2 linked regions of the Saccharomyces cerevisiae S288C genome follow. The protein of the gene in region 1 binds, or shares a complex with, the protein of each later gene. Each region holds a gene or a part of one and is shown on either strand. Other genes may lie near its edges. A codon is read from its position in the direction of its gene.

Evidence for each region.
Region 2: the proteins of NSE3 (region 1) and SMC5 are in contact, whole or in part, in a cryo-EM structure (PDB 8I13), measured with the Saccharomyces cerevisiae proteins. Residues at the interface, in NP_010574.1 of Saccharomyces cerevisiae: Asp159 (codon at 11,676), Asp160 (codon at 11,673), Ser215 (codon at 11,508), Asp216 (codon at 11,505), Gly217 (codon at 11,502), Ser218 (codon at 11,499), Lys219 (codon at 11,496), Thr249 (codon at 11,406), Glu252 (codon at 11,397); in NP_014608.1 of Saccharomyces cerevisiae: Lys232 (codon at 14,316), Lys233 (codon at 14,313), Lys915 (codon at 12,267), Glu956 (codon at 12,144), Lys957 (codon at 12,141), Pro958 (codon at 12,138), Lys959 (codon at 12,135), Asp960 (codon at 12,132), Lys971 (codon at 12,099), Asn975 (codon at 12,087), Ala976 (codon at 12,084), Pro977 (codon at 12,081), Leu978 (codon at 12,078).

Annotation. Positions count from the first base shown.
Region 1 is NC_001136.10:1,035,121-1,049,344, reverse strand, and holds NSE3 (Smc5-Smc6 complex subunit NSE3), read right to left. Parts: upstream 12,151-14,224; coding exon 11,239-12,150; downstream 1-11,238. Other genes in the region: mRNA-binding translational repressor SSD1, read left to right, coding at 1-3,705; SRP101 (signal recognition particle receptor subunit alpha), read left to right, coding at 4,334-6,199; HRQ1 (ATP-dependent 3'-5' DNA helicase), read right to left, coding at 6,384-9,617; RTT103 (Rtt103p), read left to right, coding at 9,836-11,065; inositol monophosphate 1-phosphatase INM2, read right to left, coding at 12,472-13,350; MGP12 (Mgp12p), read left to right, coding at 13,770-14,114.
Region 2 is NC_001147.6:258,210-274,931, reverse strand, and holds SMC5 (DNA repair ATPase SMC5), read right to left. Parts: upstream 15,010-16,722; coding exon 11,728-15,009; downstream 1-11,727. Other genes in the region: MIM1 (Mim1p), read left to right, coding at 579-920; ribosome-binding protein MDM38, read left to right, coding at 1,208-2,929; YAP7 (Yap7p), read left to right, coding at 3,562-4,299; YOL029C (uncharacterized protein), read left to right, coding at 4,512-5,117; GAS5 (1,3-beta-glucanosyltransferase), read right to left, coding at 5,291-6,745; SIL1 (Sil1p), read left to right, coding at 7,403-8,668; OPI10 (Opi10p), read right to left, coding at 8,763-9,503; glutamate--tRNA ligase MSE1, read right to left, coding at 9,847-11,457; YOL036W (uncharacterized protein), read right to left, coding at 15,902-16,722.

The sequences.
Region 1 (14,224 bases):
AACATGTTTGTGCAAACCACAGGAGGTGGTAAAAACGCCCCAAAGCAGATTCATGTTGCACACAGACGTTCCCAAAGTGAGTTGACAAATTTGATGATTGAACAATTCACTTTGCAGAAGCAGTTGGAGCAAGTTCAAGCACAGCAGCAACAGTTGATGGCTCAGCAACAGCAATTGGCACAACAGACAGGACAATACCTGTCAGGAAATTCTGGCTCTAACAATCATTTCACGCCTCAACCGCCTCACCCTCATTACAACTCAAACGGTAATTCACCTGGTATGAGTGCAGGTGGCAGCAGAAGTAGAACTCACTCCAGGAACAACTCCGGATATTATCATAATTCATATGATAACAATAACAATAGCAATAATCCTGGGTCTAACTCACACAGAAAGACGAGTTCACAATCCAGCATATATGGCCATTCCAGAAGACATTCTTTAGGTCTAAATGAAGCGAAAAAGGCTGCTGCGGAAGAACAAGCTAAAAGAATATCTGGGGGTGAAGCAGGCGTAACTGTGAAGATAGATTCTGTTCAAGCTGATAGTGGCTCAAATTCTACTACAGAACAATCTGATTTTAAATTTCCACCACCACCAAATGCTCATCAGGGCCATCGTCGCGCAACTTCAAACCTATCACCTCCCTCTTTCAAATTTCCTCCAAACTCTCACGGGGATAATGACGATGAATTCATAGCAACCTCTTCAACGCACCGCCGTTCAAAGACAAGAAACAATGAATATTCTCCAGGCATTAATTCCAACTGGAGAAACCAATCACAGCAACCTCAACAGCAGCTTTCTCCATTCCGCCACAGAGGATCTAATTCAAGGGATTACAATTCCTTCAATACCTTAGAACCTCCTGCGATATTTCAGCAGGGACACAAACATCGTGCCTCTAATTCATCAGTTCATAGTTTCAGTTCACAAGGTAATAATAACGGAGGTGGACGTAAGTCCCTATTTGCACCCTACCTTCCCCAAGCCAACATTCCAGAGCTAATCCAAGAAGGGAGACTAGTAGCTGGTATATTAAGAGTTAATAAAAAGAATAGATCGGATGCCTGGGTCTCTACAGATGGCGCTCTTGATGCGGATATTTACATTTGCGGCTCCAAAGATCGTAATAGAGCACTTGAAGGTGATTTAGTCGCGGTAGAACTATTAGTTGTGGACGATGTTTGGGAGTCCAAGAAAGAAAAGGAAGAAAAGAAGAGGAGAAAGGATGCCTCTATGCAACACGATCTAATTCCTTTGAACAGTAGTGACGATTACCACAACGATGCATCTGTTACTGCTGCAACAAGCAACAATTTTCTATCTTCTCCCTCCTCGTCTGATTCGCTAAGCAAGGATGATTTATCCGTCAGAAGAAAGAGGTCATCTACTATCAATAATGATAGTGATTCCTTATCATCTCCTACCAAATCAGGAGTAAGGAGAAGAAGTTCATTGAAACAACGTCCAACTCAAAAGAAAAATGACGATGTTGAAGTTGAAGGTCAGTCATTGTTATTAGTTGAAGAAGAAGAAATCAACGATAAATATAAGCCACTTTACGCAGGCCATGTCGTTGCTGTTTTGGACCGTATCCCTGGTCAGTTATTTAGCGGTACATTAGGTTTGTTGAGACCATCCCAACAAGCTAATAGCGACAATAACAAACCACCACAAAGCCCAAAAATTGCTTGGTTCAAGCCTACTGATAAGAAGGTGCCATTAATTGCAATTCCTACAGAATTAGCTCCAAAGGACTTTGTTGAAAACGCTGATAAATACTCCGAAAAGTTATTCGTTGCCTCTATTAAACGTTGGCCAATCACATCTTTGCATCCATTTGGTATTTTAGTTTCCGAACTTGGAGATATTCACGATCCTGATACTGAAATTGATTCCATTTTAAGGGATAACAATTTTCTTTCGAATGAATATTTGGATCAAAAAAATCCGCAAAAAGAAAAACCAAGTTTTCAGCCGCTACCATTAACGGCTGAAAGTCTAGAATATAGGAGGAATTTTACGGACACTAATGAGTACAATATCTTTGCAATTTCCGAGCTTGGATGGGTGTCTGAATTTGCCTTACATGTCAGGAATAACGGAAATGGTACCCTAGAGCTGGGTTGTCATGTTGTTGATGTGACCAGCCATATTGAAGAAGGCTCCTCTGTTGATAGGCGTGCGAGAAAGAGGTCCTCTGCGGTGTTCATGCCACAAAAACTTGTCAATTTATTACCACAATCGTTCAACGACGAACTGTCGTTGGCCCCTGGCAAGGAATCAGCCACGCTGTCGGTTGTTTACACTCTAGACTCATCTACTTTAAGGATTAAATCTACTTGGGTAGGCGAATCTACAATTTCCCCCTCAAACATCTTGTCTTTAGAACAATTAGACGAAAAATTATCTACTGGAAGTCCCACTAGCTACCTCTCTACTGTACAGGAAATTGCTAGATCATTTTATGCTAGAAGAATAAATGATCCAGAAGCTACATTACTTCCCACCCTGTCCTTATTGGAAAGCTTGGATGACGAAAAAGTTAAGGTTGACTTGAACATCCTGGATAGAACTTTAGGCTTTGTTGTAATTAATGAGATTAAAAGAAAGGTCAACTCCACTGTTGCAGAGAAAATTTACACCAAACTTGGTGATCTAGCTCTTTTGAGAAGGCAGATGCAACCCATTGCAACCAAGATGGCGTCATTTAGAAAGAAAATTCAAAATTTTGGTTACAATTTTGATACCAATACGGCGGATGAATTAATCAAAGGGGTGCTAAAAATTAAAGATGACGATGTTAGAGTCGGAATTGAAATTTTACTGTTTAAAACCATGCCAAGAGCTAGATACTTTATTGCTGGCAAAGTAGACCCGGACCAATATGGGCATTATGCCTTGAACCTACCTATCTACACACATTTCACAGCGCCAATGAGAAGATACGCTGATCATGTCGTTCATAGGCAATTAAAGGCCGTTATCCACGATACTCCATACACCGAAGATATGGAAGCTTTGAAGATTACCTCCGAATATTGTAATTTTAAAAAGGACTGTGCTTATCAAGCACAGGAACAAGCAATTCATCTATTGTTGTGTAAAACAATCAACGACATGGGAAATACTACAGGACAATTATTAACAATGGCTACTGTCTTACAAGTTTACGAGTCCTCCTTTGATGTATTTATTCCAGAATTTGGTATTGAAAAGAGAGTTCATGGAGATCAACTACCTTTGATCAAAGCTGAGTTTGATGGTACCAATCGTGTCTTGGAATTGCATTGGCAGCCCGGCGTAGATAGTGCAACTTTTATACCAGCAGATGAAAAAAATCCAAAATCCTATAGAAATTCCATTAAGAACAAATTCAGATCCACAGCCGCTGAGATTGCGAATATTGAACTAGATAAAGAAGCGGAATCTGAACCATTGATCAGCGATCCATTGAGTAAGGAACTCAGCGATTTGCATCTAACAGTACCAAATTTAAGGCTACCATCTGCAAGCGACAACAAGCAAAATGCTTTAGAAAAATTCATTTCTACTACTGAAACCAGAATTGAAAATGATAACTATATACAAGAAATACATGAATTGCAAAAGATTCCTATTCTATTGAGAGCTGAGGTGGGGATGGCTTTGCCATGTTTAACCGTCCGTGCATTAAATCCATTCATGAAGAGGGTATAATCTCTTCTACCAATATCGTCATTGCTGTTTTTCTTGTTTTTCACTTTCGTTCTTTGGATTGTGCTTCACCCCTCAGTATCCCTTCCCTTTGTTTTTATTTCCTGCGAACATTAACAACTGCATGAATTTTGTACTTCTCCTTTTAATCCACGTTCCGGTAAGGCATCATCCAAATTTTTTTATTCGACCTCGTTAAGTCATATATTTTTTCCCAAAAATACATAAAACAATAATGCAGCCTTCTTTTCAATATTTACAACTTTTCAATTTATATTGTCTTTTGTTATTTATACTCTTATATATTAAATTTATTCCGTTACTAAATACCCTTTTGCTGTACAAATATCATCAAAGAGAAGTACTGAAAGCTTACTTTTTATGCGCTGGGTAATTTTTCCGGAAACAATAACGAAATCATCGTCGAGCAATTTTGCTCGTACTTCAGAAACTACTGCGTAAACATTTGAGGTCGTACAATAAGTAGATAGAAATAAATAAACCAATTTTTCGTCAGCGTTTAATCTGTAGCCAAAGATTTGTGGTATTCTCACAGTTTGAATAATATTCAGCTACTTCATCAAGTAGTTTTTTTCAATAGGAGATTCACGGTTCAATAAGTGCATTGATTATGTTCGACCAATTAGCAGTCTTTACCCCTCAAGGTCAAGTACTTTACCAATATAACTGTTTAGGAAAAAAGTTTTCTGAAATACAAATTAACAGCTTTATATCCCAGCTGATTACTTCCCCAGTAACTAGAAAAGAAAGTGTTGCAAACGCAAATACAGACGGATTTGATTTCAATCTTTTAACAATCAACAGCGAACACAAAAATTCTCCTTCATTTAATGCACTATTTTATTTGAATAAGCAACCAGAATTGTATTTCGTAGTGACTTTTGCCGAGCAGACTTTAGAGCTTAATCAAGAAACTCAACAAACACTTGCACTGGTGTTAAAACTCTGGAACTCATTGCATTTAAGTGAATCCATTCTAAAAAATCGTCAGGGCCAAAACGAAAAGAACAAGCATAACTACGTCGATATTCTTCAGGGAATTGAAGACGACCTGAAGAAATTTGAGCAATATTTTAGGATAAAATATGAAGAGTCAATAAAACAAGACCATATCAATCCAGATAATTTTACCAAAAATGGATCAGTACCCCAATCGCATAATAAAAATACCAAGAAAAAATTGAGGGATACAAAAGGTAAGAAGCAATCTACAGGAAATGTTGGTAGTGGGAGAAAGTGGGGCCGTGATGGTGGCATGCTTGATGAAATGAATCATGAAGATGCAGCCAAATTAGATTTCTCATCATCCAACAGCCACAATAGTAGCCAAGTAGCTCTAGACTCCACTATTAATAAAGATTCTTTTGGGGATAGAACAGAAGGAGGCGATTTCTTAATCAAAGAAATTGATGATCTTTTGTCTTCTCATAAAGACGAGATAACTAGTGGGAACGAAGCTAAAAATTCTGGATACGTCAGTACAGCTTTTGGATTCCTTCAAAAACACGTTCTAGGTAACAAAACGATCAATGAAAGTGATTTGAAATCTGTATTAGAGAAGTTAACACAACAATTGATAACCAAAAATGTAGCACCAGAGGCAGCAGACTATTTAACACAGCAAGTCTCACATGATCTTGTAGGCTCAAAAACTGCAAATTGGACCAGTGTTGAGAATACTGCTCGTGAATCTTTAACAAAAGCATTAACTCAAATATTAACGCCTGGTGTATCCGTTGATCTCCTCCGTGAAATTCAGAGCAAAAGAAGCAAAAAGGATGAAGAAGGTAAATGTGATCCCTATGTGTTCTCTATAGTTGGTGTTAATGGTGTTGGTAAGTCAACAAATCTTTCAAAGCTAGCGTTTTGGTTACTGCAAAATAATTTCAAGGTCTTAATTGTTGCTTGTGATACGTTTAGGTCTGGTGCAGTTGAGCAACTAAGGGTCCATGTTGAAAATTTGGCACAGCTAATGGATGATTCACACGTTCGTGGCTCCAAGAACAAAAGGGGTAAAACTGGTAATGACTACGTTGAACTATTTGAAGCTGGTTATGGTGGATCTGACTTGGTAACCAAAATTGCAAAGCAAGCCATCAAATATTCTCGTGATCAAAACTTCGATATAGTGTTAATGGATACTGCCGGGAGAAGGCATAATGATCCTACTTTAATGTCGCCATTGAAGTCTTTCGCTGACCAAGCCAAGCCAGATAAAATCATTATGGTTGGAGAGGCTTTAGTAGGTACTGATTCTGTCCAGCAAGCCAAAAATTTTAATGATGCCTTCGGAAAGGGAAGAAATCTTGACTTCTTTATTATCTCCAAGTGTGACACAGTTGGTGAAATGCTGGGTACTATGGTAAATATGGTTTATGCTACGGGGATTCCTATCTTATTCGTTGGCGTGGGACAAACCTATACCGATTTGAGGACATTAAGCGTAAAATGGGCTGTTAATACATTAATGTCTTAAAAACTGTAATATCATAGTATATATATATATACCACAGACAATGTTATTCAACAATAATAAAGTGTCTTTTTTTCTGTGCATCAACAAGGTGACAGAATGTTGATGTAACTTCTTTCCACCAAGTGAATCTACAAGTAGTAGAATAGAGTATTTATATTCGGTTTACAAACTACAAATAGCGTGCTCATATCTCTTTTTTAATGATTTCATTTGTATGAGTATCGTCTTTCGTAGCTCTTCTAACGTCAATAATCTTAAAATCATCTGAAAAGTTGACATGCTCTGACACAGGAATAACAGTCTCTACTTTTATCTCTGGCATATTTGGCTCTGGACCATCTTTGATAAGATCTATAAAACTATCTTCCGAGTGACCTAGAATACAATGCAAAACGACTTGGGCGCCAGGTTTCGACAGGACCAGGCTGTTTTCCTTACAAAAAGAAGCCGCTACACAGTCAGGACATCCATCGCTGCATGGGCATTCTTCTATTCTTCTTAAACTAGACTCTATAATATCATCAATATGCTCAAACGCTTTAACACACAAGCCAGACCCGTACTTACCGCCCTTGGAATCATAGAATATTAATCTAGCTGGTCGCTTTCGTTTAGTTTGACGTTCTGCAAATTCCTTTTCCGGAGCTTTGCATTCAGTTTGTATTTCATCCACACCCGCCACTATAAATCGCGGTAACATACCCATAATTGCATGTTGCGCCCCGTGAATAGCTCCTGCTACATTTAATTGCTTCTTTTGGCAAATTTCTAAGGCATATTTTGGCATATCTATCCATAATCCTTTAGAATTGATTATTACAGGAGGGTTATGGGTTTCGATGGCATCGATGATCCTCTTGTACTTGTCTACTTTAAAAAAGCCAAATACAATAATTGTAGTCTTGATCTTACCAAAGTAAACAGGAACATCACTATTCCTTAAAGAGCGTATAAGTTCAATTTCCTGTGGATCTACATCTGTAAAGTCTCTTTGGTTGGTTACCCAGTCAACATCTACTCTTTGCACTTTAGCATATCTTTCATCAGGATTAAACTCCTTCACAAGGTAGGGATAGCCTTGGTGAATGAATATACCGCCATCATATAAAGTAAAACTAGTCCTGGATGCTTCTATTTCCTCAATTATTATATTTCTTCCATTTGTTATATCCACTACGGCAAATTGATCTTCTTCTCCGCCTCTCAAAGATACACACTTGGACGGCCATGGTAAAAATCTATTACTGGCGTGGTACCCATCTTGATTGTGATGTAAGCGTTCAACACAGATTTTGCGAAGATGAGATTCAGTAAAGTATTGCTTGTCACGTTCAAAATTTATTGGCAGTTCGAAAGCAGCGCATTGTATGTGTCCTTCCAGTATCAAAATGTTATTGAAATCAAGAACCAAATCTTGATAAGATTCGAAATTATTAACCTCCAGCAAGGATTCTGGATGAGCAACATAATGTTGATCAACAGGCGAGTCACTTGCAACCACGAGGGTTAAAGAATCATTATTTCTTCTTCCAGCTCTACCACTTTGTTGATGAAAATTCGCCATTGATAGTGGGAAACCGCACATCAAGACTGCGTCTAGTCCACCGATATCAATACCAAGTTCTAGAGCATTGGTAGATATGACAGCCTTTAAATTTCCGTGAAACATCTCACGTTCTATTTTACGTCTGTCGGAAGCAGAATAACCACCCCTGTAAGACATGACTTCTGTAACCAGATCCTCACGCCCAGTTTCAATAAAAATATTGCGAACTTCTTTCATCAACAATTCACAAACACGACGAACGTAGCAAAATGCTATGGTTCTTACGTTGTTCAATATCAATTGTACCAATATCTTTGCACTCTCTCTAATGAAATTTTCTCGTTTACGTTCGTGTTGAGGTAAAATTGGAGGATTCCACACCACTAGATGCTTAGCACCTGTAGGTGAGCCATCCTCGTGTATTAGCGTAACCTCATTAATTCCAAACATGTCCTTCATATGTTGTACTGGAGACTTTAAAGTTGCAGAACATGAAATAAATTGTAAACCACTATTTTCGTAAAAACAGTGGCACAGTCTTAGTAAACGTCTCATCACTAATGCCACGTGCGATCCAAATAAACCCTTATATATATGCAATTCATCGACCACCACTAACTTTAGATGGTACAAAAAATGTCTCCAATTTGCATGATTAGGTAAAATGCTGGTATGTATCATGTCAGGATTGGTAAAAATAACTCTAGCATTTTTACGAATATAAGCTCTTTCCTCTGGCTCCGTATCGCCGTCATACGTATCAACCACGGCATTCTTTAGCTCGGGGATCTTTGAAAGTATTACCTTGAATGCTCTTTTTTGATCTTGTGCCAGGGCCTTTGTTGGAAATATATACATAAACGTTGATTCAGGATCCTTTAAAAGAAGATCGATAGCTGCTAGTTGGTAAATAAGGGATTTACCTGAAGAGGTCGATGTTGTAATAATGACGTTTTCGCCTTGATGAAGACTGTTTATCGCATCTGCTTGATGGCTGTAGAAATTTTCGTGTTCCATACCCTGATATACTTCCGGTGCAAGCTCAAAACAGAGACCTTTATACTTCGCTGTTCTTGATGGTATTGTAAAACAATGCTTTATCTGAGAAGCGTAGAATTCAGTACTTTTTAATTTCTCAATCATTTGAGGAATTGTTGTTATCACTGAATTATTGGAATAATTGGGAATGCTCATCTCATTACTTTCTTGCTTCGCCTTCATCATTGCCTCAATAGGATCCTCATAATCTCTCTCCCTTGGAATATATTTCTGCGCTAGATTTGTTAACTCAGAAAATGGGTCAAGGTTAGCCTTTTCCTTTTCCAGGATAAATTCCCGTAGTCTGGATTTAAAGAGAGCTTCCCTTTTAGAAATCATCTTTTTCATTTCCTCCGTAGTATATGTTGGTATCTTTATTTGAGAAAATCTATCACTTGCAGACCATGAGCGTTGCATTGTACCGTCTATAAATTCAAATATAAGTAACTGAGTAGATTTTTGAGTCTGATTTTGGTCATCAACGTCCTTCAGTTCAAATATGTCATTTTCCTTCTGCTGAAAGCCGCCATTATTGAAGTCAAAAATCTTAGTTTCAGTATAAATTTGGTTCTCATCAATATACTTGAAAACACATTCTCTTGGCATTAGCGCCATAACCATGGCTAGGTCTTCTTTCGTCACAGTTCTTTTCAAAGCAGTTTCTATAGGTCCACAAAGTGTTTTAAATGTAGGCACAACATGCTTTCTGCAAATCAAAAAGGTGTAAAGAGTATTAAGGCGGAAAAAAAATTGTTCAAAATTTCTAAAGGCATCGGTCTTTCCACTCCCTTGACCTGCTGACTTCAGTTTCTTTTTGATAGGTCCTTCCTCCATTTTTCCTTCTCAAATGAACATTTCTTTTCTACGACCTTAACCATCTCAATATGTATAACGGTTCTGTTTTATAACGAAAAATGAAAAAGTTATTTTTTTCCTTTAAAAATATATAAACTTGAAAAGCCAACATAATAATATAAGTACAAGCGAAGAAGGTTTTAACGAAGAGGTAGAAAATTTGAAGAAAGCAATAATCCAAGATTAAAATAGACGGTATGCCTTTCTCTTCTGAGCAATTCACAACCAAATTAAATACGTTGGAAGATTCCCAAGAATCTATTTCCAGTGCCTCAAAGTGGTTGCTTCTACAGTATAGAGATGCTCCCAAAGTGGCAGAAATGTGGAAAGAATACATGTTAAGGCCTAGTGTAAACACAAGAAGGAAGTTATTGGGTCTTTACTTAATGAATCATGTTGTTCAACAGGCTAAAGGTCAAAAAATTATTCAATTTCAAGATTCCTTTGGAAAGGTGGCAGCAGAAGTATTGGGAAGAATTAATCAAGAGTTTCCGAGGGACCTAAAAAAGAAGTTGTCAAGAGTTGTGAATATACTAAAAGAAAGAAATATATTTTCCAAGCAGGTAGTCAATGACATAGAAAGAAGTCTTAAAACCGAGAGCTCACCAGTGGAAGCGTTGGTGTTACCCCAGAAATTGAAAGATTTTGCTAAGGACTATGAAAAATTAGTGAAAATGCACCATAATGTTTGCGCGATGAAAATGAGATTTGACAAATCATCAGATGAATTGGATCCATCCAGCTCAGTTTACGAGGAAAATTTTAAAACAATAAGTAAGATTGGGAACATGGCTAAAGATATAATAAATGAATCAATTCTAAAAAGAGAAAGCGGTATCCATAAACTGCAAAGCACACTGGACGATGAAAAAAGGCATCTAGATGAGGAACAGAATATGTTAAGTGAAATAGAATTCGTTTTATCTGCTAAAGACCCATCCAGATTAAATAAAAACGTTGATGAAGACAATATTATTCCTACGTATGAAGTGGGGGATGGAGATGACGATGACGATGATGGTGATAATGATGATGATGATGATGATGATGATGATGACAAAAATTACGATGATAGATCCAATGACAGCAATTATGGCGTTACTAATATTAGCACCACAGATAAGAAGAATGAAGTTGTAGAAAAGACAGATAGCGAACATAAAAACTCTACTCATAATCCTAGTGACAATCAATTTGGTATGAAACGAACACATGATATGATAGGTCATGATGACGCTAATGACATACCGGAAAAAAAGGTTCATCTTGATTCGAAGACGAGTGAAGATGGTACTTTCAACAGTGAGGATGGACATTATGAGTTAGATATAGAAGGCCACGTCGGCGCCCAAACCGACGAAGGTGTTGAGAATTCCGGAGGGGTTTCTTCTAGTATACAAGACTTGTTAAGTAAGCTTGCAAATTAATATGATGGTTGAGTAAAAAGAAAACAAGGAGATAACTTATACAAATATATAGTAACCCGTTTAAGTCCAGTCTTTTTTCGTAACTATTTGCCCATAGTTTATTTCGTATTCATCTTCACTATTTCCTCGACAAAAAAGATGCGCACCTAAACTACATGGACACCTATGCAATGCTATATAGAATATGAATCGCCAATGCTTTTTATTATATCATCGTGCAAACTTTTAGTCTGCTCCTTTTCAAGGCCCATGATTTCTTGCACCAATTTTTCAAGAGACTCTAGTCCAAGCTCAGCCTGAGTTCTTCTACCTATCCTGTATGATATCACTTCCCCGTCGGTATCGGATTTCTCCTCCAATCTGACTATATATTCGCGCTTTTCTAAACTTTTTATCAAATCTTCAATAGTAATGTTCAGTATAGCAATCTTTGAACCATCGCTTGGAATGCCAAATGTCTCTAGAAATTTGATCAATTCCTGATGTAATATGTTATTCTTAGAGAAGAAAACAATGCATAAAATGACGCTCAAAACACCCTTGTAAACAAGATCTCGATCTGTACTCAACTTGCTTTCTAAGGTATTGGAAGTTCCTGAAGCTATATCGTCACCAATATACTCTCCGGTAACTATTAGCTCTTCATAAGTGTGAGCGCTTTGTAAAATCTTGAAATCGTCAAAATTTTTTGAGTGCGGGACATTGTTTAGCAAGATAAATTTCTGGGCTCTATGTCCCAGTGGCTCAGGCATTGATTTATTTGTATTGCTATTGCTTCCATTACCGCCAGCGTTCATATTATTTTTTGACGGCAATCCTTGTAATTCAAACCCATATACGTTATACAGTATAGCATTTATGTCCATAAACATTTTACTAAAAGACGGTTTTGCTATGTTTTCCTCGCGAGCAGCTTCATGTATAACAGATTGTAACTTGTTTCTTGTTATGATCGAATTTTGAGATTCTCCTCTCGATAAAATATACCTAACCATTTTTCTAGCTACAGGATTCTCTTTAACGATCTTGGCCACGGCTAAATCTTCTGTTAAATCCACATCGCTGTCATTATCTATAGAACTCATGCTAATGAGAAGCTTATGTTTATCGAACAACCTTCCCTTGTAGCATACTGATATAGGACCCCTTCAATCGAAGTTGATAATAAGCGCATTACTCTTCATTGAAATTTTTCTTCACGTATATCGCGCTGTTAAAGGAGAGGGCCGCATGCATGTAATACTTGCTATTCTTGAGTCAGAAGCCCACACTAAGTGACCTGTGAAATCAAGTTGCTGCTTCAAGATATCGTCCTGTACTGGAAAAAAATACTAGTAGGAATTGCGTGAAGTACTATATAAACTTTTCTTAGATGTAGCTTATTTAACGACACCTGAGGGGGGCATTTAGTATTCTAACTCACCCGCAACGTGAGGCCAAAACGATTCTGCAAATCGCTTCTGCTCCATCGACTCACATCCACCTCTAATAGCCAAGTAACATCTTCTGTCTAATGGAATGTTCCATTCTCCACAATTTCCGCCAACCATTATTCCTCCTGCTTCCTCAAGAATACACCAACCGGCACAAACATCCCAAGCCCAGCAGCCACCTTCCCAATAAGCATCAAGCATGCCGCTCGCTACGTAGCATATGTTCATGGCAGCACTTCCTGCACTTCTGAACCCGTGAACAAAGGCGCCGGACTCACTTAGTAAGTTTTTATAAGTATTCATTTTCTTATCAAAGTTTCCTTGGGAACCTTCAGTTCTTTCCGAACCTCCTTCTAAAGCAATTAAGGATTTTTGCAAAATCAATGGCCTTTTTGAAACCTTTATCTCCTGATCATTTAAGAAAGCTCCATTGCCTTTGGAAGCATGGAATAGTTGGTTTAAGTGAGGATTGAAAACCACACCAACAACCGGCTTCCCCATTTCAGCTAAACCTAGAGATGTACAACTATAGGGGTAACCGTGAATAAAATTAGTAGTACCATCGATGGGATCAACAATAAATGTAGGGCCGTTAGTTATTTTCGTGACACCTTTTACATAAGTTTCTTCTCCGATAAATTTGAAACTGGGATACTTGGCCGTTAAATTTTCCTTGATTATAGATTCAATTTGTTTGTCTAAAGCAGTTACCAAATCTACGCCATTTGCTTTATCATCATATGAACAAAAGTTTGTTCCTGCGTGCGATTTTACGAGAGGTCCTATTTTACTCCTAAGTAATTCAATAAATGTGTTCTCCACTTCCTCTAGTACTTGCCTCGTTAATACCATCGCTTCAATCTAAGTTTACTTTACAAGGGCTTGTGGAGCTTCAACTTCACTTATTCTCTATATTGTTTTCACGATTTTTTCTCCCCACGATTTCATATGTAATGAAGCAGGGTGCTTCACGGCGTTATCACTCGGAACACTGACGTTCTTTATTAAGAATTACCGTTTTAAGGGAAATAATAAGAGGTCACTTAATATGACTGTGAGAATCCATTTTTGTAGTTTTTTAGTTACTGGCTTTGGAATGTCAATATAACTGTGATTGACTTCCCTTTTTTTCGCTTTATGGGTCTATGATGTGCGCAAGTTGTTACCTTTCCGTAGAGAGTTCGGAGTTGATGCATTGTAAAGTTTCGTTTAATTCATAACAGAAATTCGTAATTATTCAGTAAGACATAAAACTTAAGGAACATATCACCATGTTGAGAGCGTTCCGCTGTTCTATACATACTTCGAGGGTATTGTTACATGATGCTGGAGTGAAATTAACTTTCTTCTCAAAGCCTAATTGTGGGTTATGCGATCAAGCAAAGGAAGTGATAGATGATGTATTTGAAAGAAAGGAATTTCATAATAAAGCAGTTTCACTAGAGATAGTCAACATAACTGACCGAAGAAACGCAAAATGGTGGAAGGAATATTGCTTCGACATACCAGTACTTCATATTGAGAAAGTTGGTGATCCTAAGTCGTGCACCAAGATCCTGCACTTTCTTGAAGAAGACGATATCAGTGATAAAATAAGGAGAATGCAATCTAGATGACCTCTTTTGTTTTTACTAGAGTTACAACACTGTAAATATTTATAAGCTATGAATAAGTATATACCTCAAAAAACTATATCTACGCTAATTTTACTATGCATACTTCTTAC
Region 2 (16,722 bases), on another chromosome or scaffold:
TGATATAGCTGAGTGCAATGTAAACGATTTTGCTACCACTTGTGTAATGTAGAACAAGCTAACCTTAGCTATGTGTAAAAATTTTGTAGAGATGATTCAATAAATGTCACGAAAGGATTGTAGAAGGATAAGAAGCAAGAATTCACAAAAAAGAAATGCGTCACAGACAGGATTCGAACCTGCGCAGGTAAAACCCAATGCCTAATTGCTTTTCTGAGGAAATAGCAGGGCATCGCCTTAACCACTCGGCCACTGGGACACGATTACTTACAATGCACAGCAAGAGCACCCCAACAGTACTTTAAAAACTCTCCTCCAAATATGTCTGCAACGTGTACTATTTATTATAACGAAGATAAATAGTAATACCAATGGCCCATAAAAGCGTATTATTCCACTACCATCGGCCTCCCCTACCACTGAACAAGAGGAATGCGTTACGAGATGTAATCACTTATAACGAAGTGGTATATTCCGCGCCATAAGAAACAGCCATACACTTTACTTGAACAATAGAACATCACTGTAATATTAGAAACATCACCCCCCTTCTTACGAAACTGCCACAAGACAGAAATATGACAGAGGTTGTGGGATTCTGGGAGAGCGTGTCAGATGACGAATCAGAAGACAAAGACTGTATGGAGGTGCAGAACACAGTGAGTGCCGACGAGAGCCCACTTGTGCAGAGCCTTGTATCCTTTGTAGGCTCGTGCTCCATCAACCTACTTTTGCCCTTCCTCAACGGCATGATGCTCGGCTTCGGCGAGCTATTTGCTCACGAGCTCTGCTGGAGATTCAATTGGTTTAACCATAGAAACAAGGGGTATAAGGTGTACCCAGAGTCGCGCAAAATAGCAGCATTGAAAGAGATTTCAAGCCCTGGCACCCGTGGGAGGGTTGCGTCCAAGTTCCTTTAAACGATCACCAAAGCATTAGCAACCTACATAAATAAATACACACACACATACGGTAGATTATACGTAACCACATAACTGGCAATAGTTTCACAAGCCATAAAGCTAGCCACGGTATTACCCTCAAACGACCCCGTCTTGGGCGATAATCCCGCGGTGAAAAATTATTCGTTGAATCATCTCCAAATAAATGGATCAGTCATTGCCACGGTGATGAATATGAACAGCGCAGTGCATTTCAGGCAGCGCATAATATACGCTATCTCTATCACTACAGATAATATACTAAGATGTTGAATTTCGCATCAAGAGCGTCATGTGTGACAAGACGTCAAGCAAGCTTGTATTTTGTTAAAAATCAAGGCCCTAGATTAATAGCTTCCACTATTCCCTCGTGTCATTGGCCTTTGAGAGCGCAAGGAGTACAGCCCAACTATCCTTTATCTTTGAGATTTTATTCTACTGATAAGTCGAAAAGTGTTACGAAGCCCGTAGCTCCAACATCCACCGATGCTCCTGCCAAGCCCAAGGAGACGCTTATGGTCAAAGTGAAGCACGCCTTGAAACATTATGCTAATGGGACGAAACTTTTGGGTTACGAAATCAAAGTTTCTACTAAGCTTTTGATTAAATTTGCTCAGGGTTACGAGTTGTCTAGAAGAGAGAGGAACCAATTGAGGAGGACAATGGGCGATGTGTTTAGGTTGATCCCTTTTTCAGCGTTCCTTATTATTCCATTCGCCGAACTATTTTTGCCTTTCGCTTTGAAACTCTTCCCCAACTTACTACCCTCCACTTACGAATCCGGCAAGGATAAGCAAGCCAAGAGAAATAAGCTCATCGAGATCAGAAAAAAGACATCCGAATTCTTGCATGAGACTTTGGAAGAATCCAATTTGATCACTTACAACACCATTGAAAATGCAGAGAAGAAGCAAAAATTTTTGAATTTTTTCCGGAAGCTTTATTCTGCCAAGGAAGGTAAGATTATGACTTTCCAACACGATGAAATAAGCGCCATTGCGCAAATGTTCAAAAACGATAGCGTTTTGGATAACTTGTCAAGACCACAATTGGCAGCAATGTCGAAGTTTATGTCACTAAGGCCATTTGGTAACGATAACATGCTTCGTTACCAAATTCGTTCCAAACTAAAGGATATAATGAACGACGATAAAACTATTGACTACGAAGGCGTTGAAAGTTTATCGCAAGAAGAGCTGTATCAAGCTTGTGTGTCTCGTGGTATGAAAGCGTACGGTGTATCCAAGGAGGACTTGGTCGATAATCTAAAAGTTTGGCTAGAATTGAGACTGAGACAAAAAATCCCATCCGTCTTGATGGTTTTGAGTTCCACGTTCACGTTTGGAGGACTTCCAAAGGAGAACTATTCAAAGGCATTCTCGCCACTAGCTGAAAAAAAAGAAACAAAAAGCAAATATGACGACCTTTTGGATCTGTACTACGACGGTATATTACAAGTGCTAAGTTCCATTCCAGATCCCGTTTACAACGTCGCAAAACTAGATGTATCTGAATCGAAATCATCCGCTGCTGAAACTGAAGCTGAAAAGCAAGTTGCTGAAAAGAAGATAAAGACGGAAGAAAAACCCGAGGAAACTGCTATACCGAAGGAAGAAGCCACCGCAAAAGAGTCTGTTATAGCTACCACCGCTTCTGCGGTTACTCCTAAACTAGTCGTAGTTAATGAAAAGGCAGAAACAGCGAAGACAGAGGAAATATCTCAGGAAAAAGAGAACGCAGAGCCTACCGACTCTGCGGAAGCCACGGAAGCTGAAGAAAAGAAGACATCCGACGATAACGAGTTCAAATTGAACGTTTTGAAGGAGCAAGAAGAACTAATAAAGAAGGAGGAAGAGGAAGCTAAGCAAAGAGCTTCGAGAGAGCATGTGCCAGATGATATCAACCTAGATGAAGAGGAAGAAGCAAAATCTGTACCTCCCATTCCGGCCGATCAAGCTGCGAAGACTTTTGTCATTAAGAAAGATTGATATTAGATCAAAGCCTAAGAAAAAAACTAAAAAAAACTAAAAAAAAAAAGTCAATCGGTTCTCTTTTCTCTGACAACAATGGCAAAAGATCAAAGAGAAGCGTACGTCACGGCAAAACCAGCGACCCTTCAAAACTAAATTATTATGCATGTATATAATAGACACCCTATCTAAACTACCGCCTTATTTTTTTTTTTATACAGGAGCAAAGTGTCTTTTTTGTGATGGCCACGAGGGTCCTTTCACTCATGACTCCTTAATCAGCATCTTATGAGCTGGATTTTCATATATCGGCGATTTTTTTCATCGGTAATGCACGCAGTAAAGCTGCTCGCTCGAGAAAAATTAGTAATATATGGAAGAAGAAGCATAAGCATAAAAGAGAAAATCCGCTGCCCCACCGTAGAAAGCAAACAAGGCTATTGGTTATTCCTCTTTTCACCTGTACTTCAATCTGTAGCACATCATCATAAGAGGCTTGAAAGTTGCTCAAGAACAGTTTCAACGGTTTTTTCTTTTGAAATTTGAAAATTGCTCTTCGTTTGTTGAGCCGTTATCAAGGAAGTAAATCATCAATTAAAGAATATAGAAAGGCACAAAATTTTGTCATTTACGCACACTTTCAATGGATCATGAGACAACGAAGGTCTGTAGTAGCAGTTAGCGTAAAGCCCAAAGGCTTCAAATTGGGGCATAAACAGGGTTCCATGTCTACGACGTCTCCACCTCCATCCTCACCAGATGGAAATGTGAGTACATCAGGACCGTCAGCTATTAAGTTATCCAAGAATTGGGAGTTACCACAGCGCCTAAAACCGGGCCGCAAACCGAAATCCAAGCGCGGGGATGCATCAGCTAATAATGATGGATCGTCCAAGATAAAGAAGGTTCAAACTTCCAACCAGAAAGACCAAATGACCACAAAAGATCATGAGAACGAAGGCGCAAAAGGTCATGAGGGGAAATCTGATGATGAAGGCAACGGAAGTGGTGATGAAAACGGTGTCGATAGCGTGGAAAAGCGAAGGAGGCAAAATAGAGATGCGCAAAGAGCATATAGGGAACGCAGAACAACAAGAATCCAGGTTCTGGAAGAGAAGGTTGAGATGCTACACAATTTGGTCGATGATTGGCAAAGGAAATATAAACTGCTGGAATCTGAGTTTTCCGATACAAAGGAAAACTTGCAAAAATCAATAGCATTAAACAACGAATTGCAAAAAGCCTTGCCTTTGATTGTTAATACTCCATTTCAACAGCAGCCAGAAAACCCGCCAGACAATCCTATTTCGATATTAGAAATGGTAGAAAACTTTAAACCAATCGGCGCTGTCAGTTTAAAAAAAGGAAAGCTGAAGGCCCATTGTTAACATCTCATGTGCCCGCGGTATTAACAGACCAGTCTTTGTCTGAGATTGATATAGCCAACGATTATCAATATCTGAGCGGCAGACAGTTTAGTTCAACGAATTCATCGCTTGATGGCCATATTAATTCACCTCTGTCTTCATGCAGCAGCAGTATCAATGCATGTGCAGGCAGTGGCAACAAAAAAATAAAATGTTGTAGGAATAAAGATGCCATGAAACCAGTAACATGTTGCAACCAAAAGAATAACATAATGCCATCCTTAGTCCCCGTTTGCTGTTCAGAAAAGAAAATAGAATCCGATGCTAAGAAATCAATATCGAAATGCTGTGGAGACAAAGAAATCTACGATAGCGAGAATAGACCGATCACTAAAGAGGATGGGTCATGGATACCTGGAAGCTGCAAGCAATGTAGATCAGACCCCCATAGTAGGAATTTTTGTCAATCACTTTCGAATAAATGTAGTTCAAGCTCTTTCTCTTCCAACAGTGCGTTGTCACCGGATCTAAATGAACAACAAACTGACGTAAATTACAATTCAATCAAGCTACCCGAAATATGTTCCTGCAAGAATGCACAAATGAATGCGGCTTCCGATGCAAAGAGGTATCTGCCGATCAGTTACACATATCAAAAAATCCGTCAACATATGCAAAAAAATAAAAGTATCCAAGAACAACTAAATCCTGAGGATTCAACTTCGATCTCATCAGCGTTAGAGAACATTGCATCTGGATTGCACGTTCGTGGACAGAAAGTAGAATTGCAAAGCATCAAGGATGCATTACATAAGATGGACAAAAACGTCTTGGAATGATGTATTTAGAAAGAAAAGAAAAGTGGAAGCATAAATAGTGCATATAGATATAGGTATATATATGAATTTTTTAATAATAATATTAATGATGTTTTTTTATCTTAAGAACATTAAAAGTAAGCGGCGCTAACGGAATAATTAGAAACAATGTGGTAAAGAACGGGGGTGAAAACTCATAAAACCAAGTTATAAAGTTCTGCCAAAGCACGGAATATCAAAGGAATCTCAATAATTCCGGCAGCACCCTTTGATTTCGAGGACGATTGGCTGGACGAAGTAGCAGATGCGGCAGATTTTAGCAAGCTCGTTTCGCTAGCAGAAGGGGAGGAGGAAGATGCCTTTGAAGTCGAGGATGATGATTCAGAAGATGAAGAAGCGGAAGATGAAGATGAAGAGGAAGAAGAGGATGAAGAGGAGGTGTCGTCGTCTTCTTCGTCGTCATCGTCCTTAGCATCACAACTTTGTTGGGTGGCGATTCCGGTTCCCATAGGAGAACCTGCTCCAGATGTGAAGTAAGCAGAAGCAGCACTTGGCATAGCAGGCAAAGTGTTATTAGCTTCCCAGACACCCTTTTCATAATCAGGACATGTAGAATAGTTGTTGGAAGTACTGTAACCACCATTGCCTTCTGGGTTGGATACTTTGCTGTATTCATTTTTCAAGTTTTCAAAATCTGTCAATTTAGTGACCTTGTCACCATCAATTTGAACGAGCCCGTAATTGTTAGTTTCATTGGAATATTCGTAGACTAGCCCACCGGAGAATACAGAAGACATTTGAGTGGAATAGATAGCTTCAATTTCTGTGAATGGACGAGAGCTCTTGACTTGGTTACAACCAAATTCACTTAAGAAGACAGGAACGGAGTAATCTTGATATAGCTTCATCTTGGTGGAATAACCCGATACCACAAATGAAGATTCACCACACCAAGAATAGTCATTAACACCAAACATGTCGATTCTAGCGTCAGCTTCATCACCACAGTTAAAGTATTCAGCAGCCAATTGTCTGTTAGCGACGATATCAGCAGCCGAGTAACCTACCGGAATTTGTCTGTATTTTCTAGCCTTGATGTATTTCTTCATGTCCCTGACCACTGCCTTGACATAAGTAGCAGTGTTGGTAGTATTAACACTATTGATGACCTCGTTACCAGCGAAAAAACCTAGAACATTGTCGTAATCAGCAAAGGTATCAATGGTGGCAAAGACATTTTGTAAGTAGTCAGCGTTATAGGAGCAGGCTGGATCGTAACGAGAAATAGCACTCGTGGGGGTATTGACATCCAGGATCAAGTATATACCGTTCTCCTGCAATAGTTTCATACAATGGGAATGATCTTGCGAGTTATCCACAGTATAAACTCTGACAGTATTTATCCCTAGATCTTTCAGAACGGGGACGTCTCTGTCACAGACAGATGCGTCTGCTAAGGGATCAGTCAAGTTAGAAGAACCACCAGGCTGGTAATCAACACCACGGATATAAAACCTTTCACCTGATTCCGAATTAAAAAATGCATTGCCTTTAATTTCAATGGATGGTGTGGAACTGTTACTGCTGCTAGCAGCCTGAGCCAAACCAGCACTTAAAACGAAGGCACTTGTAAGAGAACGTAGTAACATAGCTATTTAGAGCTGTGTGTGTAGCGAGTGATATATAATATGTTTGTTACAGCCCACTGTTTACTTTTATATACGAAATGCAACACTGTCAACAAATCAGTTCAGGGACCTTCCTATTTATAGTATAAGCAAAATAAAAGTGAAAAATTTCCTGCGGAGTTTTTTTTCTCGAGAAATTGTGAACAAAAGAAAGCAAAGACACAGAAGATGATAAGAGAGAGAAACAACGAAGAAAGAACAACAATGTTGGGGTTCACCCGAGAGATATTGACATACTGACCTTAGAAAAGGCATTACTGAGGCTACTGACTAAAGCGCGTTACATAAATGCATAGTATATTTCTTGTTGTATACGCAGCGGCCAACTAGTGGCAGCAAGAATGTAATGAACGATTCATCTGCAGGTTTGGAGGCCGCAACTAGATCAAAACGTAAATAGCGGGTGAAGTGTTCTGGACGTTAGAAGTAACGTCCGCAGATCGAAGCTAAACACGAGATTAGATTTCGGGTAACGGAATTGTGATAATTAAGAAAGACCAGACTATGTGAAAAGGCCACGTAAATGATAGAGCACACATTAGCAACTATAATAGACTAGTTTTCGCATCGCTGGAAGTTCTCGATATTGAATATCACTTCCAAGAACGCAAACTTAGAATGGTCCGGATTCTTCCCATAATTTTGAGCGCCCTATCTTCGAAATTAGTGGCGAGTACAATATTGCATTCATCCATACACTCAGTGCCATCTGGAGGCGAAATCATATCTGCAGAAGATCTTAAAGAACTTGAAATTTCAGGGAATTCGATCTGCGTTGATAATCGTTGCTATCCTAAGATATTTGAACCAAGACACGATTGGCAGCCCATACTGCCAGGTCAAGAACTCCCCGGTGGTTTGGACATTAGAATAAACATGGACACAGGTTTAAAAGAGGCAAAACTAAATGATGAGAAGAATGTCGGTGATAATGGTAGCCATGAGTTAATTGTATCTTCAGAAGACATGAAAGCATCGCCTGGTGACTATGAATTTTCCAGTGATTTCAAAGAAATGAGAAACATCATAGATTCTAACCCGACTTTATCTTCACAGGACATTGCCAGATTGGAGGATAGTTTTGATAGAATAATGGAATTTGCGCATGATTACAAGCACGGCTACAAAATTATTACCCATGAATTCGCCCTCTTGGCCAACCTTAGTCTCAATGAAAATTTGCCGTTAACATTGAGAGAGCTCAGTACTAGAGTCATTACCAGCTGCTTGAGAAACAATCCTCCTGTAGTCGAGTTCATTAATGAAAGTTTTCCAAATTTTAAAAGCAAAATCATGGCCGCTCTGTCAAATTTGAATGATTCTAACCACAGATCCTCTAATATCCTAATAAAAAGATACTTGTCCATTTTAAACGAATTACCTGTCACATCCGAAGATCTTCCTATATACTCTACGGTTGTTTTACAAAATGTATATGAAAGAAACAACAAGGACAAACAGTTACAAATAAAAGTCCTGGAGTTGATCAGCAAAATTTTGAAGGCCGACATGTACGAAAATGACGATACAAATCTAATTTTGTTCAAAAGAAATGCTGAGAATTGGTCGTCAAATCTGCAAGAGTGGGCAAACGAGTTCCAAGAGATGGTCCAGAACAAAAGTATAGATGAACTACATACAAGAACGTTTTTTGACACCCTTTACAACTTGAAGAAAATTTTCAAAAGTGACATCACGATCAACAAAGGGTTTTTGAATTGGTTAGCGCAACAATGTAAAGCCAGGCAATCTAACTTGGACAATGGGCTCCAAGAGAGAGATACTGAACAAGACTCATTTGATAAGAAACTTATCGACAGCAGACACTTGATCTTTGGCAACCCCATGGCTCATAGAATAAAAAATTTCAGAGATGAACTCTGATTTCACTGTCATTGCATATATAGTTTAATATTAATAATATTTTTTTCAATTAATATTTCGTGAATCTTATTAGAGATATATTATATATCCGTGTCTAATTTTTAGTTACTTCATCCAAAAACGTCCCGTCGTTGGCCAGTCTATTTCTAAATTTGTCCCACCATGTATCAAACCTCTTGATGGGCACGTTTCCCTGAGCATCTAGGAACCCTGATAAATAGTTATATGCATGCTGAACGATTTTGGCGGCCAATTCTTGTGTCAATGAAGGGTAAACTTGTGCCAACTGCCCTGCCGTGGTAATATTTCGAATTATTCCTAAGTTAGGTCTTGACAAGATCAATGAGTTGTTCTTTTGTGCTTCGGCATTCATGCTGGCCTTCCACTCTTCTAATTTCATCATTCCTTGTTCTCGAGGCTCAATGGAAATACCAATAATCAATTCTGATATGTTATTACTGCTACTTCCATTGGTGTCAGTAAACGGATCAGCGGCCCCCGAACCATCATCTACATCCATGTCTATCTCACCTAATCCATCACTTGTATCTCCAGCGTCTTTCTTCGAGCTCGGTATTTGCACTTTGAATATGGCACTGGGTTTCTCACTGCTTAGGTACCCAAATAGTTTAAATTCTTCCTGAGGGCTAAGTTTGAAATAGACTGTAGCTATATAATCCTGAGGAAAGGTAACATTAGGTAATATAAACAGTGTTATATGCGAGTATAGTTTCGGTTTCGTTCGAGAAAGGACAATTGTATGCTGTAACCCATTTGAATTGGGGACTTCTACCGATAGTTGCAATGGATTTCCTGAGGCAATTGCAGCAAACATTTCTTTATTTTCTCTCACTCAAATATTTCTTATCAATCTCCGAATTTGCAAATTTATTAGACCACTTATTTTCGTATTTAAAGGGTGAGTCGAATTGACGTATTTTAAATAAAATGTAGATCTCTCCTTTTATCCCCAAATTTCGCTTTTAGTACCCGATTCCTATATAACTCTTCCAGAACGTTCGGTCGGCTTCATTAAGAAAATTCAATTAAACTTAATTAAACTTAATCAAGCTTAATCATAATAACAAAATAAACGTATACAGTAGTGGCTAATTACATTATGTATATGACGTATTTACATGACCCTATTGTATCGAAACCTTTTATTAATATTATTATTACTTTTTCTCTCTTTGCAAGAACTGTAAACCTTCGGATAATCTTTTGTTACTTTCCTTGATGCCCAAAATATCTATCATGGCTGCTATTTTGGCACCTGGGTGACATCCCGCAAGAGCAAATCTCATTGCCTGATACGTGACTTTCCTAGAAAAACCGTTCTCATAATACATCGTTTCGACCATAGATTCGACTTCTTGAGCATCGGTGCCCTCTTGAAACTGTCCAAGCTTCTTCAATAAGTGAGCAATGTGGCGGCTTTCGTTCTTGCTTAGAAATTTCGTGACAGCATCATTATCATTATATTTGGGCTTTTCAAAAAAATAATAAAATTCATCATGAAAATCGTTAATCCTTGATAGAGAACCACCACAGTTCAGTAAAATTTTAGCTACTTTCTCACGGCTTATGGTAGATGTGTTATATATGGACTCTAAAGAAGGCATAATGTCGTCGACAAGCTCCCTCAATGTAGAAGGATTAAGTATTCTTTTTTGCAAAAAATGCTTATTGAAGAACCACAATTTTTTATCATCGACTTTGGCATTTCCCTTCGTCAAACCATTCAAATTAAAAATGGTTTCCAATTCCTCCATTGAAAAACACTCATGCTTTTTCGAAGCCAGATCTCTTGGAGGAGACCAGCCAAATAGCGCACAAAAGTTAATCAAAGCTTCTGGCAAAACTCCCTGTCTTTTTAAATCCGAGATAGACATATCACCTTTTCTTTTACTCAATTTCTTATCACCAACCGTCGTCAATAAGGGAATGTGGATGAACTTTGGGCAAGCCCACCCAAATGCATTATATAGGGCGATATGTTTAGGAGTAGAGGGCAGCCATTCCTCACCTCTTATAACATGGGTTATTCCCATCAAATGGTCATCCACAACATTTGCCAGATGATAGGTTGGCAACTTATCCGACTTAACAAGGATAAGGTCATCGTACCGTTTATCGTTAAAGTTTACTTGCGGTTGAAGATTTATTTGTCCATGTAAAAGATCAGTAAACGTTGGATATCGTTCTGGCGATTTAAACCGCACAGTGAAAGGTATACCTTGCGCTAGCTTAGATTTTATTTCTTCCTCCCCTAAGTGTGCACAACATCGATCATAGCTTGCCATCGAAGGAGGTTTCAATTCCATTGCAGAGTGTCTCAAATCGTTCAATCGCTCCTTTGAACAAAAACATCTATACGCCTTCCCAGAAGATAGTAATATTTTTACATATTTGTCATATATTAGTTTCCTTTCACTTTGCTTTATAGGGGTTTCATCGTAGTTTATGTTACACCATTTCAGAATCTCGTAGATGTTTTCTTCTGCTCCCTCTATTAGCCTCTTCTGGTCTGTATCTTCTAAACGAAGCAAAAACTGCCCATTGGTGTTTCTTGCTAATAGGTAATTGTAAAGGGCTGTTCTCAGTGACCCCAAGTGTAAAAACCCAGTTGGAGAAGGCGCAAACCTAGTTCTAACAGGTAAAGAAGGATGGATATCTTCCTTTATTTTCTTGGATAACAGAGATTTCTTCAATGGTGAGAGACCTACGCCCTTTATTAGCTTCGAAGGTGAACAATAAGACCGTGTCGGTATTCTCAACATGATCATATTGTTATTTTATAGTTCTTCTGTACCAGATTAGATTTTTGTCATGTAGCGGTTGCTTGCTTTGGTGCCTCGAATTTAATATAAGAAATTAATTATTGCAGCTTTTCTTAAGCGCGTTCTATTTAATTAGTTCTTTATTTGGTGAAGCCTTACATTTGTGAGGTAAGACAGCTGACACTAGAAGACATTTTTGCTAGATGAGACCAAACGTCTTGGTTATAAACATGTTTACATCTATATGTGTATAATTAATTATGCAATAGTGAAAGATTAATCGAATGAGTAGTTAGAAGTTTCACCGAAATGTATCATCTTCGGATCCTCAGAAGGGTTTGGAATCCAAGAACCAGCCATGACACAGTGTATTCTCATCTTTTCATGATAATGCAAGCCAGTCAATAATTTTGGAGTGATTAAAAAATATTGAGAAGTGTTTTCGGCACACGCGTTCTCCACCATAGCTTTATGAACGATCCTTTCATTTCTAGAGTCCATACCTTGATTGATTTCATCAACCACTCTAAATGGTGCAGAGGTAAACTCTTGCAAAGCAATCATGTAAAGAACTGTAGAAACAGCTCTTTCACCACCTGATTGCGTGTGGGAATCTAACTTTTTTAAAGGTGCATTATCTCTGAATTTTACCATGATTTCTATCTTCCATTCAGCATAGTCCTTCGGCTTTTCTAGACGAACCGCACCAGCACTCCCAACATTGTTGAATAAGCGCGCAAATCTTGCAGAGATTTTTGATACAATATCATCTAATTTGGGCTCCAAAACTGCGTGATCTTCTTTTAATTTAGCTTTAATGGTCTCCAAGTCTTTCGACTGCTGAGGAACCGTGTGCTCCAACTCTCTCAGTTCGGCTGTGACTTGATCCAAAATTGTTACGGCTGACTCGTCGTGGTTTACCATAGCTATCTCCGATTCTAATTTATCGAGAACATCCTGAACGAATGACAGATTGAAATTCCCTTCCTCCTCGTATTTTTCTGCCACTTTATTCAATTTTTCCTTAGTGTCTTGGTCATAAGACCTGATTTCTCTCATCCATGATTGAAATTCAGGAGTGTCTCTCATTTCTTTTACGAACTTTTTCTTGTCTTCATATTGGCTCTTCAAATCAGCTTCCCTCTCATTGAAAAAACCAATTACGTCATTCATAGAAACATCCATATTTTGGGCTTCAAATTGAAGGATTTGAGTACTTATTAACTCCTTCTGACAATTCTTTAAACTCTTCATTGAAGAGGCCATTTTAGACAGCAAATGTCTTTGCTTGAGTAATAGTTGTTGGATCTGATCATCAATATCTTTAATCTTTTGAGATACGTCCTTTCTAGCTTCACGTTTCAGTTGATCTAATTTCTCTCTTAAAGTCTCTATTGTACTTTTTCTCATAGTGTACTTCTTGCGAATCTCATTTAATTGATGAGCTTCCCTATTAATATCGTCGTTTTTTGACGCCAACTCAGATAATTCGTGCCTATAACCACTTTTCTGGTTTGACAATGCATCTAACGTAGATTTTCGATCGTTGTATTCATTCTTTAAGTTGATAATTTCATTTTCAATTCTAATTTTCTGCTCATTTGACATGATTGATCCCTGATAAAAATTAGTTTGTTTAATACTAACGTCAGTAGGAAAGACCTGCTTACTACCATATGCTGATTGCTTGATATCGACTAACCTATTCCCATGAATAATCCTTTTAAAAAGAATTTTCCCATTCGGTCTTGGTGTAATCAACTTCTTTATCTGAGCAGGCGTCAATTCCCTTCTTGATACCGGTATAGTATGAATTTTGCTAGTTTGACAAAGCATTTTCATAACCCTCTTATCACCGGTAATAAAATCGGATAGATAACCCTCAAATCCCAGGTCCCTCACCGTTTCCGCTGGTACAGGAGGGGTGGTGTCTGCACTGGAGAGTTCTCTCAAATTAACCTTGAATTTGTCAAGAATTGGATTTGCAAATAGCTTGTAAGAATCAGAATCAACAACAGTCAAGGCTTTACTCGTATTATAATCCACACATTGTGCTAAATATGCAGCAAATTGAGCGTTAATGGCAGACACGGTCATTATTGGCGGTTCTAGAATTTTATCTTTCATTTCTGGATGCTCTCTAACCATCAACACAGCATCACGGACCTCCTTTAAATCCTGGTCCTGATTTAAGATACCGATTTTATCAGTTGTTGTAAGGGATTTGGTCTTGCTTTCAGCTTGTCTCTGTATGCTTCTCATCTCATGATTAATAGCGTTCGCCTTCGCATCAATTTCGGAAATAAGATCCCTAATTTCGCCTTCTTTATTAATAATTTCCTTTCTTTTAATGTCTATATCTTCAAATACGCTTTTCTCAGGAAGATGTGTTTGTGCTAATATTTCCTGACTCCTTAGAAAATCTTCCTTTGTACTAATAATGGTGGCCTGTAGTTTTTTGGTTCTTCCTCTATAATATTCGTTCTGGTTTTTCTTTTTGATGACCTCATCCCTAATAGTATTTAATTTTTCGAAGATTTCGTTGATCTTTTCTTTTGCTTTCAGGAACTCATCAGTTTTTAGGGAACACTTCTCTGTTAACTCTTCCACCTGATTTTCCAAAGTCTTCTTAGTATTTGCAAATGGTTTTTTATCCTTCAGTATAGCCCTTAAGTTCGCTTTCGCTCGTTCGTATTCTTCTTTATATATGTTTAGCTTTTCTTTATGGTCCTTTACTTTCACATAAGGTAATAGTTGGGAGTGTAACTCGATTTCACCCTTCTTATTTTGAAAATCTCGTAAAGATTCAACTGATTTACGTAGTTTATCACTTTCTTGTCTCAAATGAACAATTTTAGCTTTTTTAAAATCGAGATCTTTTTGCAAGCTTTGCTCATTTCCTTGTAATTCCCTTAGTTCATCCAACACATCCAATAAGCTTGCATCGATTGACCTTATAGTCTCTACTAATAATTTAACTGACTTCAAGCGAGCAAACTCCTCAACACGCTCTTGAGATAAAAATTGACAAAGATTATCCAACTGAATGTTCAGCTGAGCAACTAAAGTTTTAACTACACTCTCAGATACCTGGTAGTCATTTATTAGATAATCCGATCTCCTCTTGGATCTCGTAATAATCCTGGTAATCTTTATTGTTTCATCACGTGCGTCTATGTATTCAATATCAGTAACATTTGGTGAATTTTTCAAGGTGATTTCAATTTTTGAAACATCTTGACCATTTTTGATGAAATCTTCCACTTTTTTACTCCTACCAATATACTCGGGTTTACCAGCCAATCCTAAACACACTGCGCATACGAAAGTAGATTTTCCAGATCCGTTTGGCCCAATGATCATATTTAAAGACGGTGAAAGATTGAATTCGGTTAAAGTGTAAGTAACAAAATCCTGTAAACGGATCTTAATAATGCTGCCTGGTTGGAAGGAAGACAAGTCAGGTTTTGCGATTTTTACCCTTTTCGATCTTGGCTCTGTATCTTCTCCATGATGCGTTCTTTCAACATATCTGCCCAAATCTATTAGACTGGTCATGCTAGGGATATAGCTTTTATGTACCACGCCCTTTTATTTGATATACTTCCTTTAGAATTGCGTACACGTACTTGTGAAAGTAAATACCTATTATCGGCATCTTGTCATCGCATAAAAAGGTAATCCAACGCGAAAGTTAACGCCATAATATAGCCCAGTCATCCTGAACGGTCTACAAGATTAATAAGATCAGCTATGCCAGCTTGTTGAAATAATTAGTGGCAACAAGTGTGTTGTCAGACAAATGTGATTATTTACATTTACAAAGATAGAAAGGAAATATCAAAACTATAAGAGTACACTACGGGCTAGAAAAAAAATAAAGGAAATGTTTCTTACATTAGTATCAGTGTAGCGGTTCTGTAAAGGTTAATCTTTGTTTGATTCAATCACGAAAAATCTGCTGCAAATTGCTACCTCTTTCATCATTCTAAAGTAAGTCCTTCTCTTATTCCTAGATGTTCGAGCAATACCAATTAAACTTGGCACGATGCGTGCAATTAAGAGTAATCGGGCACTGCACTCCGACTGGAGTCCGACGAATATCGTAGTGATCTTTTTTATCTACAGTACTGGTTGCTTATATCTTCCAGTGTATATATTCAATGTGGGAAGGAGGGAAAGGTCATTTTGCTAATTTTCATTTTTTCTCGCCTTTTAAAGCATGAGAAGAAAAGTTGACCATGTGTGCCAAAAAAAAAAAAGGTAGGGCTACCATCCTAATTAGAGTAATTTAAGGAATTTATTAAAATGCAATGTTAACTTTTTATAGAGTGCGTAAATAACTATGTAATGGTAAATACATGGCATACAGTATATGCGTGTTTACCACCATATATACGTGTATACTTATATTTTGTCTGCCGTTATATATAGCCAAGACCTTTTTCCTTCATGGGTTGTTCAACTTTCCACGGTAAAATCGGACATAATCAGACCATATCTTATTCATGGAAATTCGTTTCTTTTTCAAATACTGCAGGTCCTTATCACTGCACCATCTACAAGATGCAAATTTTCTTTCCAAAACAGCATACCTTTCATCTTCCTTGCGTTGCTGCTGAGCCAGGATTTCCACGTATTCCTTGGCATTGAGCTTCATGCCTTCTTTGTTTCTTAAATTGGTAATGCATAATCCGATGGTAGATTGCGTTTGTAACGACGAGCGATTGATGCGATGAGTACCCTCTGTGACAGAGAGTACGGGAACAAAACTTTGTAAGGCTTCTTTATCCAGATATATTTCACTTGGCTTTGTTTGCTGTTCAGGCAGTACATTTTTTTTGCTTGAATTTTTAGACAGTATCTTTCTACTTGACGTTCTTTTAGGAACATTAATCTTACCTTCTTCGCGTAGTGGAGAGATGTCGTCTGTTGATGATTCTGGAAGAGATGTTGATGCTCGATTAAATGTACTCACGCCATCTATTGAAACTCGATCATTTTCTTTTGAGACTGGCGTTGTCGGATGTCCTCCCACGGTTGATAAAGAGGAAAACGACAATTCTGTAGGCCCCGTAGTCACCATAGATTTGGGTGATAAAGTGAGAATTTCCTTACTATTATTACTGTCGCTCAATATTCTAGTAAAACCTCTCTTTATCTTAGAACCTAGAGATGTCTTTCTGTAGACGTGTTCTGTGTCATTTGGAGTGGACACTAAGACCTCCTCCGAAGCTCGACTGCTATTCGCAAACTTGCTGTCCGAATTGA